Anolis sagrei: one gene and its partner. The protein of the gene in region 2 interacts with the protein of the main gene of each other region in a biochemical or structural test. Links are inferred from orthologs where the notes say so. Each region holds a gene or a part of one and is shown on either strand. Other genes may lie near its edges.

The links.
Region 1: the proteins of GABARAPL1 (region 2) and TBC1D2B form a complex in vitro, tested with the Homo sapiens proteins (2 studies listed by BioGRID and IntAct). The link is inferred for Anolis sagrei from reciprocal best matches to the Homo sapiens genes GABARAPL1 and TBC1D2B.

Annotation. Positions count from the first base shown.
Region 1 is NC_090029.1:12,556,866-12,564,794, reverse strand, and holds the start of TBC1D2B (TBC1 domain family member 2B), read right to left. Parts: upstream 3,007-7,929; 5' UTR 2,857-3,006; coding exon 2,503-2,856; intron 1-2,502. UniProt on the Homo sapiens protein: GTPase-activating protein that plays a role in the early steps of endocytosis.
Region 2 is NC_090022.1:168,111,873-168,119,163, forward strand, and holds the start of GABARAPL1 (gamma-aminobutyric acid receptor-associated protein-like 1), read right to left. Parts: upstream 3,015-7,291; 5' UTR 2,856-3,014; coding exon 2,766-2,855; intron 1-2,765. UniProt on the Homo sapiens protein: Ubiquitin-like modifier that increases cell-surface expression of kappa-type opioid receptor through facilitating anterograde intracellular trafficking of the receptor. Involved in formation of autophagosomal vacuoles.

The DNA of each region.
Region 1 (7,929 bases), on a different chromosome or scaffold from region 2:
CCAAATTTGGTCCAGTGTATGAAAATACATCCTGCATATCAGATATTTACATTACTATTCATAACAGCAGCAAAATGACAGTTATGAAGTAGCAATGAACTAATTTTATGATTGGGGGTCACCATAACATGAGGAAGCGTATTAAGGGATCGTGGCATTAGGAAGGTTGAGAACCACTGTACTACAGAATAATAAATGAGAGAACATCCCATGATGCAGGCTTAAAGCTATGAATAAGCTTTAGGAAAATTAAAGCATGTGAGTTAGAGCAAGCTGGAACAAAGGTGGGATTGTTTTATTCCTGTAGGATGCCCCTGTCTAGCCATTATAGGATTTTGTTTCCTTATAGAACTGGATACAGGTCAGAAACCATAAGGAAGGCATGGGTTAACTTTGACCCTCCTCCAGGTGTTTTTGACGTCAATTCCCGTATCTTGGGAAGTCTGACTTGGCCACGGTGGTACACGCTTTGGTCACATCCCGCCTCGACTACTGCAACGCTCTCTACGTGGGGCTGCCCTTGAAGATGGCCCGGAAGCTCCAGCTAGTCCAGCGCGCGGCAGCCATGTTGTTAACCGGAGCGGGACGCAGGGAGCACACAACGCCCTTGCTGTCCCAGCTCCACTGGCTGCCGATTTGCTACCGGGCCCAATGTAAGGTGCTGGTGTTATCCTACAAAGCCCTAAACGGTTCCGGCCCAAAATACCTTGCGAACCGCATCTCGGCCTACGAGCCCACGAGGACCTTGAGATCATCTGGGGAGGCCCTTCTCTCGGTCCCACCTGCCTCACAGGCACGCCTGGCGGGGACGAGAGAGCGGGCCTTCTCGGTGGTGGCCCCCCGGCTATGGAACTCCCTCCCTGCTGAAATCAGACAGGCGCCTTCCCTCATGGCCTTCCGCAAGGGCCTGAAAACCTGGCTCTTCGAAAAGGCCTTCAACTAAGTGCTATGTCTTTGTTGGAATGACCACCGGAATGGACTATGACTATGAGATTGATTATGACCCCAAACTAGACGAAGCGGATTTTTAGATGTTGTGTTATGTCTTGATCTATTGTAAATTGTTGTCTTTTCTATGTTCTGTACACCGCCACGAGTCGCCCTCGGGCTGAGAGTGGCGGTTAACAAGTGCAAATAATAAATAAATAATAATAATAAATAATTCCTAATGGCCCATTGACTGTTCAATTCCCACAATTCCTAACAGACTGTTTTAAGCACAGAGTCTGATCGAAACACCTGCCAACAGGCCTCCTCTGTCATGGATGCTGGTCCCTCATCCATGACAGACACTGGTTGGCCTCCAAGGACAAGTCCAACGATCGGGGCCTTTTGGTCAGTGACTCTGGCTAAGCAGGCTTCTAACAGTGGACGCAATCTAACACCAGGTGTCTTCTCTGGAAGTGGGCCCCACAAGGCAGGAAGGAAGAGGCAGACTTCCTTCTCAGCAGTTGTGCAATTGCACCTTGCAAAACTTGCATACGTTCTCTGCTGCTTGACTGAAAAGCCAAGCAGCAACTGGATCAGAGCAAAAGGTTGTCTAGTGGAGTACTGCAGAGTTCAGTTCCTGGGACCCAATACTGTTCAACATCTTTATTAATGACTTGGATGAAGGTTTAGAGCAGAGATCCTTAAACTGTTTAAACAGAGGGCCAGGTCACAGTCCCTCAAACTGTTGGAGAGCCGGATTATAATTTGAAAAATACATGAATGAATTCCTATGCACACTGCACATATATTAGTTGTTGTGCAAATAACACTTAAAAACAATACAATAATTAAAATGAAGAATAGTTTTAACCAATATAAGCTTATTAGTAATTCAATGGGAAGTGTGGGCCTGCTTTTGGCTGATGAGATATCATTGTTGTTGTGTGTTTTCAAGTTGTTTCAGACTTAGGTTGACCCTGAGCAAGGGCCGGGTAAATGACCTTGAAGGGCCGTATTTGGCCCCTGGGCCTTAGTTTGAGGAACCCTGGTTTAGAGGACCTGCTGATCAAGTGTGCAGATGGGACCAAATTGGGAGGGAGAGGCCAGGACCAGGATTCAAAATGACCTTAACTGATGAGAGCACTGATTGGCCAAAAATAACAAAATGGATTTCAACAAGGACAAATGTAAGATATGACACTTAGGCAGAAAAAAATGAAATGCAAAGATACAGAATAATAATAATAATAATAATAATAATAATAAAAACTTTAGGTGAACTACAAATCTCAGCAACTACAACTCCCAAATGTCAAGATTCTATTTTCCCCAAAGTCCACCAGTGTTCACATTTGGGCATATTGAGTATCCGTGTATTGTTTGGTCCAGATCCATCATTGGTAGGCTGTTAGGAATTGTGGGAGTTGTAGTCCAAAACACCTGGAGGGCTGAAGTTTGCCCATGCCTGTTCTAGTGCTTTCTGGTCATTACTTCCAGGGGAAGGTACGGCCTAGGAGGGGAAGAGGCCCCCTCCCTCCTCCAGCCTTGCCCACAGGCCTCTCCCTGGCCTACCTTGAGGACGGCGACTCCCCCGCCGGGCTCGTGCAGCTCGAAGGCGGTGGGCCCGGCCTGCTCCTCTCGCTCCTCCTGCTCGCCCTCGCCCTCCGTCTCCTCCTCCCCGCGCTCCCCGTCCTGTTCTGGCGGGGCGGCGATGGCGAAGGCGGCGCGAGCCACGTCGAGGCTGACGAGGGGCGGGCGGGCCTGGGCCTCCTCGCGGGGACTGCGGAAGGCCAGGAGGGCGCAGCGGCGCGGCTCGAAGGCCCACCACCGGCTCCGGAAGCCCCGCCGCCGGCCCCGGCCCTCCAGGTGGCCCAGGTAGCCGCAGAGGCGCCGCCCGCCCTCCTCCCGCTCCGCCGCCGAAGGCATCCCGGATAATCGCCTCAGCGCCCCGGGACTACGATTCCCAGCATTCCCGCTGAGGCTGAGGCTTCTGGGAGGGCAAGTCCAGTATTACTCTGAGGTAAAAGGAGGAAAATGCCACGCCTGCTTCCCTTCAAACTTCATTTCCCAGCATCCCCCGCCGTTCGCTGGCTTTGCCGAGGCTTCTGGGAAGTGAAGTCCAAAGCTCCAGGCCAAGGCCCCGCCCACTCCTGCCTCTCCCTTCTCAGCAAAGGCTACCCATTCTCTATTCTGCTTTGGTTAGAATATTGTGTCCAATTCTGGGCACCACATTTCAAGAGAGATATTGACAAGATATTGATATTTCTAGGTGCAAAGATGACTGCAGATGCAGACTGTGGCCAGGAAATCAGAAGACGCTTCCTTCTTGGGAGGAGAGCAATGTCCAGTCTCGATAAAATAGTCAAGAGTAGAGACATCAGACTGGCAATGAAGATCCATTGCCTAGTCAAAGCCATGGTCTTCCCTGTAGTCACCTACGGATGTGAGAGCTGGACCTGAGGGAAGGCTGAGCGAAGGAAGATCGATGCTTTTGAGCTGTGGTGTTGGAGGAAAGTGCTGAGAGTGCCTTGGACTGCGAGAAGATCCAACCAGTCCATCCTCCAGGAAATAAAGCCCGGCTGCTCACTGGAGGGAAGGAGACTAGAGACAAAGCTGAAGTACTTTGGCCACATCATGAGGAGACAGGAAAGCCTAGAGAAGACAATTATGCTGGGGAAAGTGGAAGGCAAAAGGAAGAGGGGCCGACCAAGGGCAAGATGGATGGACGGCATCCTTGAAGTGACTGGACTGACCTTGAAGGAGCTGGGGGTGGTGACGGCCGACAGGGAGCTCTGGCGTGGACTGGTCCATGAGGTCACGAAGAGTCGGAGATGACTGAACGAACGAACAACAACAATATTGCGTTGTGGTCATAATATAATATATTGTACACAACAACAACAATTGACAAGCTGGAATGTGTCCAGAGGAGGGCGACTCAAATGATCAAGGATCTGGAAAACAAGCCCTGTGAGGAGCGGCTTAAGGAGCTGGGCATGTTTACAAACCCCGCAGGAACTTAAGGTGGTCTGGAGAGGCCCTGTTCTCGATCCTGCCTGCTTCGAGAGACAGGGCCTTCTCTGTGGTGGCCCCCCGGCTGTGGAACTCCCTCCCTAGGGATATGAGATCAGCCTCCTCCCTCCTGACTTTCCGAAAAAGAGTAAAAACATGGCTCTTCGAGCAAGAATTTGGAACCCCAGAGTAAACGGACAAACTAGAGATGGAAATTGACCCAGGAACGGCCAAGACAATGTAACGGATGAAGATTTGAATGAGAAGACATACTTTCTTTTTAAATTGTTTATTATGCACTTTCGTTTATGTTTAATTGCATTGATGTTTTTGCTATATTAATGTATGTATTTTGTTTCGACATCGAATTGTGCCGACTGTGTATACCGCCCTGAGTCGCCTTCAGACTGAAATGGGCAGGATAGAAATAATGTAAATAAAGAAGTCATTGACGTGCTAGCTGATATCCAAACAAGGGATGAGCTGGAGATGTCTCTGCCTTGGTCCTTTCATTATTGGCTGCTACTTCCCGGCGGATGTCAGGTGGTGCAATACCAGCTAAACAGTGTAATTTCTCCAGTGGTGTGGGGCGCAGACACCCTGTGATAATGCGGCATGTCTCATTAAGAGCCACATCCACTGTTTTAGTGTGGTGAGATGTGTTCCACACTGGGCATGCGTACTCAGCAGCAGAGTAGCATAGCGCAAGGGCAGATGTCTTCACTGTGTCTGGTTGTGATGCCCAGGTTGTGCCAGTCAGCTTCGTATGATATTGTTTCTAGCACCCACTTTTTGCTTGATGTTCAGGCAGTGCTTTCTTGTAGGTCAGAGCACGGTCCAGGGTGACTCCTCCCAGGTATTTGGGTGTGCTGCAATGCTCCAGTGGGATTCCTTCCCAGGTGATCCTCAGAACCCGGGATGCTTGTATGTTCTTAAGGTGAAAGGCACATGTCTGTGTTTTGGATGGGTTAGGGATCAGCTGGTTTTCCCTGTAATAGGCAGTAAGAGCACCTAGAGCTTCGGAGAGCTTCTGTTCTACCATCTCAAAGCTCCCTGCTTGAGCAGTAATGGCACGATCGTCAGTATAGATGAAGCTCTCTGTCCCTTCTGGCAGTGGCTGGTCATTTGTGTAGATGTTGAACATGGATGAAGCAAGCACACTCCCCTGAGGCAGGCCGTTCTTCTGTTTCCGCCATCTGATTCTCTGACCCTGGAACTCACAAAAAAATTCCTGTTTTGTAGCAGGTTTCCTATGAGGCGGGTGAGTTGGGTAGTCCTTTGTGATATTATACATTTTTCTCAGGAGGAGGCGGTGGTTTACAGTATCATAAGCCACTGACAGGTCTGTGAAGACAGCTCCTGTGATCTGCTGCCTTTCAAAGCCATCTTCTATGTGCTGAGTCAGGTTCAGCACTTGCGATGTGCAGCTTTTGCCTTTGCTGAAGCCAGCTTGCTGTGGAATCAGACAGGGGTCTATTTTTTCCATAATTCTATGCAGAATAAGTCTCTCCAGAACTTTGTAGAGGTGGCACAACAGGGAGATTGGTCTATAGCTTTTTGGATCATTACGATCTTTGCCTGGCTTCAAGATGGCGATGACTCTTGCTTTCCTCCAGATTTTGGGGATCTGACAGGATGCAGTGCAGTTGTTCATCAGTTCCTGCAGACAGCACCTTGCTTTTGGGCCAAAGTTCTTGATTTGTTCCATCCGTAGATCATCCAGGCCAGCTGCTTTGCCATTTTTACATTTAAACAATAAACAGTAATACACAAGCACTTAAATATAATAGTTAATATTTAAAATATAATAGTTAAAATTTAAAAAATAATGCTGGGCATGAACAAGGTAGGATATAGCTGGTATAGCATTTTCAGAGAGATGAGGGAACACAGTCAGTCCTAAATTAGTGGTAAAGTACATTTTGAGGTCATATTGCTAAGAGATTTCCTTATTCTGGGAAGGCACACTGGAACAACCACGTTTTCAGGCTCCTCCTAAAGACTGCCAGAGTTGGGGCATGCCTGATGTCCTTGGGGAGAAAGTTCCAGAGTCGAGGGGCCACCACCAAGAAGGCCCTCTTCCCATCTGCGAAGGAGGTGGGAGCGCGAGCAGGGCCTCTCCAGATGATCGAAGAGATCGTGTGGGTTCGTACACAGAAAGGCGGGTCCCAAACCGTTCAGGGCTTTGTAGGTAAGAACCTGCACCTTGAACTGGGACCGGAAAATGAACGGCAGCCAATGGAGCTCCTTAAACAGAGGGGTTGATCGCTCTCTGTTAGAAGCACCAGTTAGTAACCTGGCTGCCACCCATTGTACCAATTTAAATTTCCAGGCCGTCTTCAAGGGCAGCCCCACGTAGAGTGCATTACAGTAATCCAATCTGGAGGTGACTAAGGCATGGACCACCCTGACCAGATCCGACTTCACGAGGTATGGTGGCATCTGGCGCATGAGTCTTAATTGTGCGAAGGCCCTCCTGGCCACCGCCGACACCTGAGCTTCAAACATAAGTGATGAGTCCAGGAAGACACCCAGACTGCGGACCTGTGACTTCAGGGGGAGTGCAACCCCGTCTAGCACAGGTTGCCACCCTATACCCCGATCCGGCTTACGATCCGGCTTGTAGTTTCTCAAGTCTCCTGACACAACAAAAAAAAAAAGTCTTTGGCCAAAGCAGCCAAGGCACCTGGGAGTTGAAGTCCAAACTCCATGCGAAGGACCCGACATTGCCTGTCCATGCCCAGCCTCCATGCGAGGGAATGATGGGAGTTGTGGTTTCTTTCAGGACCTCTTGCCTTCTCTGCCTTAGCGGCCGGCCTCGGTCCCAACAAACTATAACTCCCAGGGTAACCTTGGCAGTTGAAGTGACCTTTGACTGCAAACAGCGTATTCCCTCATGATGTGAATGAGACAAGTGCATTAACACCGCGTGAAAACGCCAAATATTTTTAATTCTGGTTTCAAGGATTTCTTTCAAAATCAGATATTTACAGGAAAACGATGCACATTGTTTATTCCCCCCTCCTCCCCCCTTTGCCCGGTTTTGATTTCCGAGATAAAGAGTCCACATTCAAAAAGTCTTTATGGCTGTAGATTCGCTGGATTAAAACTTGGAACACAACCTGACCCCTCCCGGCAGTTGGCCACCCGGCTCCTTCTTCAAAATCATAATAATAGAATGAGGAGGGGCCTCCGAAGACAGAGCCCCGCTCCTCCAACCATAAATTATCATCAGAGGCAGCCGTAGGTAATTTTCAATGGTAAGCAAACAGTATTTTGACCCCCCCTCCCCAATCAATCACTGATATATATTTTCTGTTCATCGTGGGAGTTCTGTGTGCCATATTTGGTTCAATTCCATCATTGGTGGAGTTCAGAATGCTCTTTGATTGTAGGTGAACTATACATCCCAGTAACTACAACTCGCATATGTCAAGGTCTATTTTCCCCCAAGAGCGCCTCAAGAGCGTCCCTGGGCAAAATCAACTATACTGCAAACGCTTACTTTGTGTAATGGGTTGAGTCGCCCTGATCATCACCATCATCACAAACAGGGCAGCAACTTAATTCTTCCTCCCCGCCATCTCCTTGAAGGGACTTGGGGTGGGGTACAGATGGGGCAGAATGTCCAAAAGCAAAAGGAATGCACAACCCGATCCCTACCGACAGATGGCCACTCGGCCCTTACTTTAAAGCTCCAAAGAAGGCGACTCCATCACCACCACCATCATCACAATTAGTATTATTTTCAAATACAGGGTGAGGCAGTATAACTTCCTTTTTTCAAAACTTAATAAAACCCATTTTTAATATAATGTAGCCACATACCTAAAGTTTTGTTTTACGTAGTTTTGAAGATCAAATTAGATAGCTGACGTCCCCCATTCTCCATTTTCCACACACTAAGTAAACCAATTTCTGGCGTTTGTCATGACTCTTGCCAGCATCACAGGCGTTATGTTGGTAATTTCCTCCTGGATGTTGGTC
Region 2 (7,291 bases):
TCTAGGGTCTATATCAGGGGTCCTCAAACTTTTTAAACAGAGAGCCAGGTGACAGTGCCTCAAACCGTTGGAGGGCTGGATTATAATTTGAAAAAAAAAACATGAATGAATTCCTATGCACACATCTTATTTGTAGTGCAAAAAACACCTAACAACAACACAATAATTAAGATGAACAATTTTAACAACTATAAACTTCTTAGCATTTCAATGGGAAATATGGGCCTACTTTTGGCTGATGAAATAGGATTGTTGTTCTTGTTGTTACTGTGTGCTTTTAAGTTGTTTCAGACTTTGGTTGACCCTGAGTAAGGGCCAGGTAAATGACCCTGGAGGGCCATATTTGGCCATCGGGCCTTAGTTTGAGGACCCCTGGTCTAGGTCCAGGGAAGTCATGCTCCCCCTTCTATTCTATTCTGCCTTGGTGAGAACCACACCTGGAATACTGTGTCCAATTCTGGGCACCACAACGGAAGGGAGATGTTGACAAGCTGGAATGTGTCCAGAGAAGGGTGACTAAAATGAAGGGTTTGGAGAACAAGCCCAATGAGGAGTGGCTTAAAGAGTGGGCTGAGAAGAAACATGATGAGGGCATATAGAAATATGTGAGGGGAAGTCATTGGAAGGAGGGAACAGGCTTGTTTTCTGCTGCCTTGGATACTAGGATGTGGAACAATGGCTTCAAACGACAGGAAAGGAGATTCCATCTGAACATTAGGAAGAATTTCCTGACTGTGAGAGCTGCTCGGCAGTGGAACTCTCTGCTCTGGAGTGTGGTGGAAACTCCTTCTTTGGAGGCTTTTAAACAGAGGCTGGATGGCCATCTGTTGGTGGGGCTTTGAATGAGTTTTTCCTGCTTCTTGGCAGGGGATTGGACTGGATGGCCCATGAGGTCTCTTCCAACTCTTTGATTCTATGAATTTCCTGACTGTGAGAGCCGTTTAGCAGTGGAACGGAGAGTGTTGGAGGGCTCCTTCTTTGGAGGCTTTTAAACAGATGCTGGATGGCCATCTATTGGTGGGGCTTTGAATGCGTTTTTCCTGCTTCTTGGCAGGGGGTTGGACTGGATGGCCCATGAGGCCTCTTCTATTATCCTGATTTCAAACCTGCTAGAACACTGGTTCTCAACCTTCCGAATGCCGTGACCCCTTCATCCAGTTCCTCATGTTGTGGTGACCCCCAACCATAACATTATTTTAATTGTTAATTCATAACTGTCATTTTGGTACTATTATGAATTGTAATGTAAATATCTGATATGTAGGATGTATTTGCATTCACTGGACCAAACTGGGCACAAATACATGATATGCCCAAATTTGAATACTGGTGAGATTGGGGAGGGGGGGGGGGGGGGAGGAATTGATTATGTCATTTGAGAGTTGTAGTTGCTGGGATTTATAGTTCATCTACAATCAGAGAGCATTCTGAACTCCACCAATGATAGAATTGAACCAAACTTGGCACACAGAACTCCCATGACCGAGAGAAAATGCTGGAAGGGTTTGGTGAGCATTGACCTTGAGTTTTGGACTTGTAGTTCACCTACATCCAGAAATCACTGTGGACTCAAACAATGGTGGATTTGCTAGGTTCTTGTGGGTTTTTTCGGGCTATAGAGCCATGTTCTAGAGGCATTTCTCCTGACGTTTCGCCTGCATCTATGGCAAGCATCCTCAGAGGTTGAGAAGGTCTGTTGGAAGTAGGAAAAATGGGTTTATATATCTGTGGAATGGCTGGGGTGGGGCAAGGAGCTCTTCCCTGCTGCAATTAGGTGTGAATGTTTAGCTGATCACCTTCATTAGCATTTGAAGGCCTGCCTGAGTCTGGGAAAATCTGTTGCTGGGAGGTGTTAATCTGTGCCTGGCTTTTCCTCTCTGTTGTTTAGCTGTTATAATTTTAGAGTTTTTTAATACTGGTAGCCAGATTTTGTTCATTTTCATGGTCTCTTCCTTTCTGTTGAAATTGTCCACATGCTTGTGGATTTCAATGGCTTCTCTGTGTAGTCTGACATGGTGGTTGGACCAAACTTCGCACAAGTACTCAATATGTCCAAATGTGAACACTGGTGGAGTTTGGGGAAAATAGACTTTGAGCTTTGAGAGTTGTAGTTACTGGGATTTATAGTTCACCTACAATCAAAGAGTATTCTGAACTCCACCAACGATAGAATTGGGCCAAACCTGGCACACAGAACCCCCATACTAACAGAAAATACTGTGTTTTCTGATGGTCTTTGGTGACCTCTCTGACGCCCCCTGGCGACCCCCCCCCCAGGGGTCCCGACCCCCAGGTTGAGAAATGCTGTGCTAGAAAGAAGGGCTATAATGCTACCAAAAAACCGGAAGCAAACATCCCCAGGATGCGGTCTAGCCGTAAGCTACTTGTTTGCTGACCAAAAGCAGTAGGTATGTGTGGGAAATACAGAAATATAGCAACACTTGCCACAGTGCCAAGGATTAGCCCTCCTGGGGCGCCTGCTTCGGGTTACTAAAGGTTACTTCGTCCCCCAGCCTTTGTCCTCCCCGCTTCCATGTTTAGGAAAGGGGAGAGGGGGAAACGGAGCTCCGCCCCTTTCGGCTCCCAAGCAGCACCCCGGCCAACGGAGGGGGGGGGCGCGAGGGGGATTAGAGGACAACAACAACAACAACAACAACGACGTCCGGTCTCAGTGGAGCTCTTTGAAGGACAACAGACACCCTGAAAATATAGACCCGCCCACCCATCCGCCTGTTCCCCTCCCCCCCCCCCCCCCTTCCACTCACAGGCACCCGGTCTGGATATTTCTTTCGGATCTTCTCCCCTTCTTTTTTCCTGTACTCGAAAGGATGGTCTTCCTTGTATTGGAACTTCATGTCTCAGGCGAACTCAGAACCCCTTCGCGACGGCGGCCTCCTTGCTTCTCTCTCTCTCTCTCTCTGTCTCCCTCCCTCCCTCGCTCAGCTGATCACAAGATTCACAACAAACACCCAGGGTTCAAGCCGGGCATTGTGACGTCACCGAGCTAAAAGCCCGCATCGGCCTCTGCCGCCCGCATTTTGGGACTGCACCATTTCTGCGCGGGGGGGGGGTGTAGGGGGTGGAATCAAAGGAGAGGCAGGCTCCTGCTTGAATCAAAGGGGGATACGTTTCTTGGGTGAAGGCCACACTAGAATCAGGAAAGCTTCCAAAAAATGATGCATCTCTTTTGTAAGTCATGATGTCTCATAGTGAAGGAAACAAACGAGTTATTATTATTATTATTAAACTTTATTTGTACCCCGCTAGCATCTCCCGAAGGACTCGATGCGGCTTACATAGGCCAAGGCCTCAAAACACAACACAATACAACACCTAAAGCAAATTAAAAACAGTTAAACAATATTAACAACAAGCAATAAACAATACATCAAGACACTATAAAACTGGGCCGGTCCAGAGTAATGGGTACAAGATTAAAAGTGCTGATGTGGCAGGAGGTATGTAGGATTATAAAGTAAGTGCAGTGTGCGGTGTGCAGCAATCTTAGTTCTACTAAAGTGCTTCTGGGACTTGGTATTGGAGATTCCTAATCTGGGAAGGCACATCGGAACAGCCAGGTCTTCAAGTTCTTTCTAAAGACTGCCAATGTAGGGGCCTGTCTAAGATCTTTTGGAGGGCGTTCCAGAGTCGGGGGGCCACCACGGAAAAGGCCCTGTCTCGAGTCTCCACCAAGCACGCCTGCGATGCAGGCGGAATCACGAGCAGGGCCTCTCTGGATGAACAAAGTGAATGTGTGGGTTCATAGAAAGAGATGCGGTCACGCAGGTAGGATGGTCCCAAACCGTTCAGGGCTTTGTAGGTAAGCACCTGCACCTCAAATTGGGCTCGGAAAATAAACAGCAGCCAGTGGAGCTCCTTGAACAGGAGGGTTGACCTCTCTCTGTAAGGAGCCCCAGTTAACATCCTGGCTGCTGCCCGTTGGACCAGTTGGAATTTCCGAGCCGTTTTCAAGGGCAGCCCCACGTAGAGTGCATTGCAGTAGTCCAATCTAGAGGTGACCAAGGCATGGAGTTGTAGTCCAGCATCGGGAGGGCCGCATCAGATGATTTGGGCCCCTTCTGCACTGCCCTTTAATCCGGTTGAAAGCAGACAGTCCATTTATTTATTTGTTTATTTATTTACTAGCTGTACCCGCCACGCGTGGCTGTGGCTAAGCTTCCCTCCCTCTTTCTCTTCTTTCTCTCATTCCTTCCTTCTCTTCCCTCCCTCCCTCCCCCCACCCCCACCTTTCTTTCCCTTCCTTTCTCTCTCTTCTTCCTTCTCTACCTATTCTTGGACTTGGACTTCTTGGACTTCATTTGAATGCATTTGAAGGATGTTCTAGATGCAAGGGGCCACCACCGAGAAGGCCCTCTCTCTCGTCCCCACCAACCGTGCTTGTGACGGAGGAGAACTTCCTGACTGTGAGAGCCATTCAGCAGTGGAACTCTCTGCCCCGGAGTGTGGTGGAGGCTCCTTCTTTGGAAGCTTTTAAACAGAGGCTGGATGGTCATCTGTCAGGGGTGCTTTGAATGCAATATTCCTGCTTCTTGGCAGGGGGTTGGACTGGATGGCCCATGAGGTCTCTTCCAACTCTTGGATTCTACGATTCTATTCTATACATATTGTTAATGAAAGTAAATAAATAACATTTCTTATTTAAACTGTTATGTTTATTCATATCCCATATGCATGGGGCAGGGGCGGCTCGTCCATTACGCGAAGTAAGTGGTCGCAGAACACTTTTTTTTGCCAGGGGCACAGAGGCGCTTCTGTAAATGCCCCTTGACTGCCACTTGAGGAGCGCCCCCTCAGCTCACAATAGCCCTAGCAGTCCGGGGGGAGCCTCGGCTTTCTTGCCTCGCTGCCGGGCGATCCTCTTCCCAAAGGGGCCGGGCCCTTGAGCCTCGCCTAGCCCCTCTTCTTCCTGCTCCACCTGGCCACCGGGTGCACAAGCAGAGCCAGTGCTCAATTGTTCTCCGCATTCGATCCCTTCCCCATGACCGGCTCCCTTTCCTGATCCCCGGCGCTCCACCCGCCTCCTCTCCTCTCCCCAATCCGCAGGTCGGCCAAGGAGCGGAGCCGCCATGCCTGGCCTACTTCGGGTCTGGAGGAGTGTCTGAAGACCCCAGCGTGCGCACCAAAAGTCTCTTCTCCTGACTTTCTCTTCAGCCATTGGGACCAAGAGAGAGAGAGAGAGAGCCCCTCCGGCTGGAGGTATCTCCCACCTCCGCTCCCTCCTTTGTTTTTGCACCTACCTTCAGGAAAGGTGGGCATCTCCACCTCTCCCTCTCTGGGTCCCAATGGCTGAGGAGAAAGTCAGGAGAAGAGGTGACTTTTGGTGCACACACCGGGGTCTTCAGGCATGCCTCTGGACCCAAAGCGGGCCAGGCAAGGGAGCAAGTGCGGCAAGTGTAGTTACTGAGATGTATAGTTCACCTACAATCAAAGAGCATTCTGAACTCCACCAATGATGGAATTGAACCAAATATGGCACACAGAACTCCCACCACAAACAGAAAATATATATCAATGATTGGTTGGGGGGGGGGGGCGCCAGATACTGTTTGCTTACCGTTGAAAATTACCTAGGGCCGCCTCTGGCATGGGGGTATTGGGATAACGATACAAAAGGTTTGCTGGGGTAGATCCTCTCTCATTCAGACTCAGCCTCCCCCCCGTCCCAAACAAAATCCTGGCTACGGGCCTGAATGTAAGTCTCTTGGAGTCTCCTTACGGAGAGAAAAAGTGGGGTATTCATCACAACAACGGGGCCGAAACGCCTTGGTTGCCTTTGTAATTGAAAGCCAAGGAGGGGAGGTTGTTTAGAAGGGGCTCCCCACGACCCCACTGCCAGCCCATGGAGGCCCGCATGAGGCTCCCTTCATCGGATGTTTTGTAAGGATGACCCAGCAGCAGCAACCCTCTCGATCGATGGCTTGTCTTCTGAGGCGACCTACATGCGGCTGTCACGCCCCCCTGCCCCCCTCCCTCCTCCTGCGTAAAGGCGGGTCTAGGCAGCGCCGCAAAAGGGAGGAGCGCGAGGAGACAGACGTCGAGACAGCCGCCGCCGCGTGACGCAGGGAGGCTTAGGCGAGGCTCCTTGGTGCAGCCCGGACGCATCTTGGCCAATGAGCTGTCCCTGCTGAGCCTGCGCCTGCCCAGGTCGGGGGATCGTCTCTGCCCCAAGGCTGAGCCTCGGAACACCACCACCACCAAACAACGACCTCGACATAGGATGACAGGGCTCTCGAGGATTTCTGTGGATTTGCTTGTTTTGAAGTTGTTTTTTAAAAAATAAATATAAGCCGCTCGAGTGTATTTGCCAAGGTCATGCTTAACCACTGTTTGCATTTCAAGAGACGTTTCCATCCTTGTTAATTGCCCTGCGTAGTCGCCTTGACAACCTTCTCCTCCTCTTCTCTCCCCTCTTCCTCTTCTTCTTCCTCCTCCTCCCCCTCCTCCACCTTTTCTTTCTCCTTCTTCTTCTTCCTCCTCTCCCTCCCTCTTCTCTTTTTTCCCTTCCTCCTCCTCTTCCCCCTCCCTCTTTTTCTCCTTCCCCTTCCCTTCTGCTTCCCTCCCTCCCTTTTCTTCCTCTTTTTCTCTTTCCTCCCTCTTCCTCTTCTTCTTCCTCCTCCTCCCCCTCCACCTTTTTTTCTCCTCTCCCTCCTCCTCCTCTCTCTCCCTCTTCCTTCTCTTTTTTTCCTTCCTCCTCCTCTTCCCTTTCCCCTTCTTCCTCTTCCCCTTCCTCTTTTTCTCCTTCCCCCTTCCCTTCTGCTTCCCTCCCTTTTCTTCCTCTTTTTCTCCTTCCTCCCCTCTTCCTCTTCTTCCTCCTCCTCCCCCCTCCACCTTTTTTCTCCTCTCCCTCCTCCTCCTCTCTCCTCCTCTTCCTTCTCTTATTTCCTTCCTCCTCTTCCCTTTCACCGCCTTCCTCTTCCGCCCTCCCCCTTTTTCTCCTTCCCCTTCCCTTCTGCTTCCCTCCCTCCCTTTTCTTCCTCTTTTTCTCTTTCCTCCCCCTCTTCCTCTTCTTCTTCTCCCCCCTCCACCTTTTTTCTCCTCCCCTTCCTCCTCCTCTCTCTCTCTCTCTTCCTTCTCTTTTTGCCTTCCTCCTCCTCTTCCCCCTCCACCTTTTTTTCTCCTCTCCCTCCTCCCCTCTCTCCCTCTTCCTTCTCTTATTTCCTTCCTCCTCCTCTTCCCTTTCCTCGTCTTCCTCCTTCTCTTCCCCCTCCCTCTTTTTCTCCTTCCCCCTTCCCTTCTGCTTCCCTATCTCCCTTTTCTTCCTCTTTTTTTC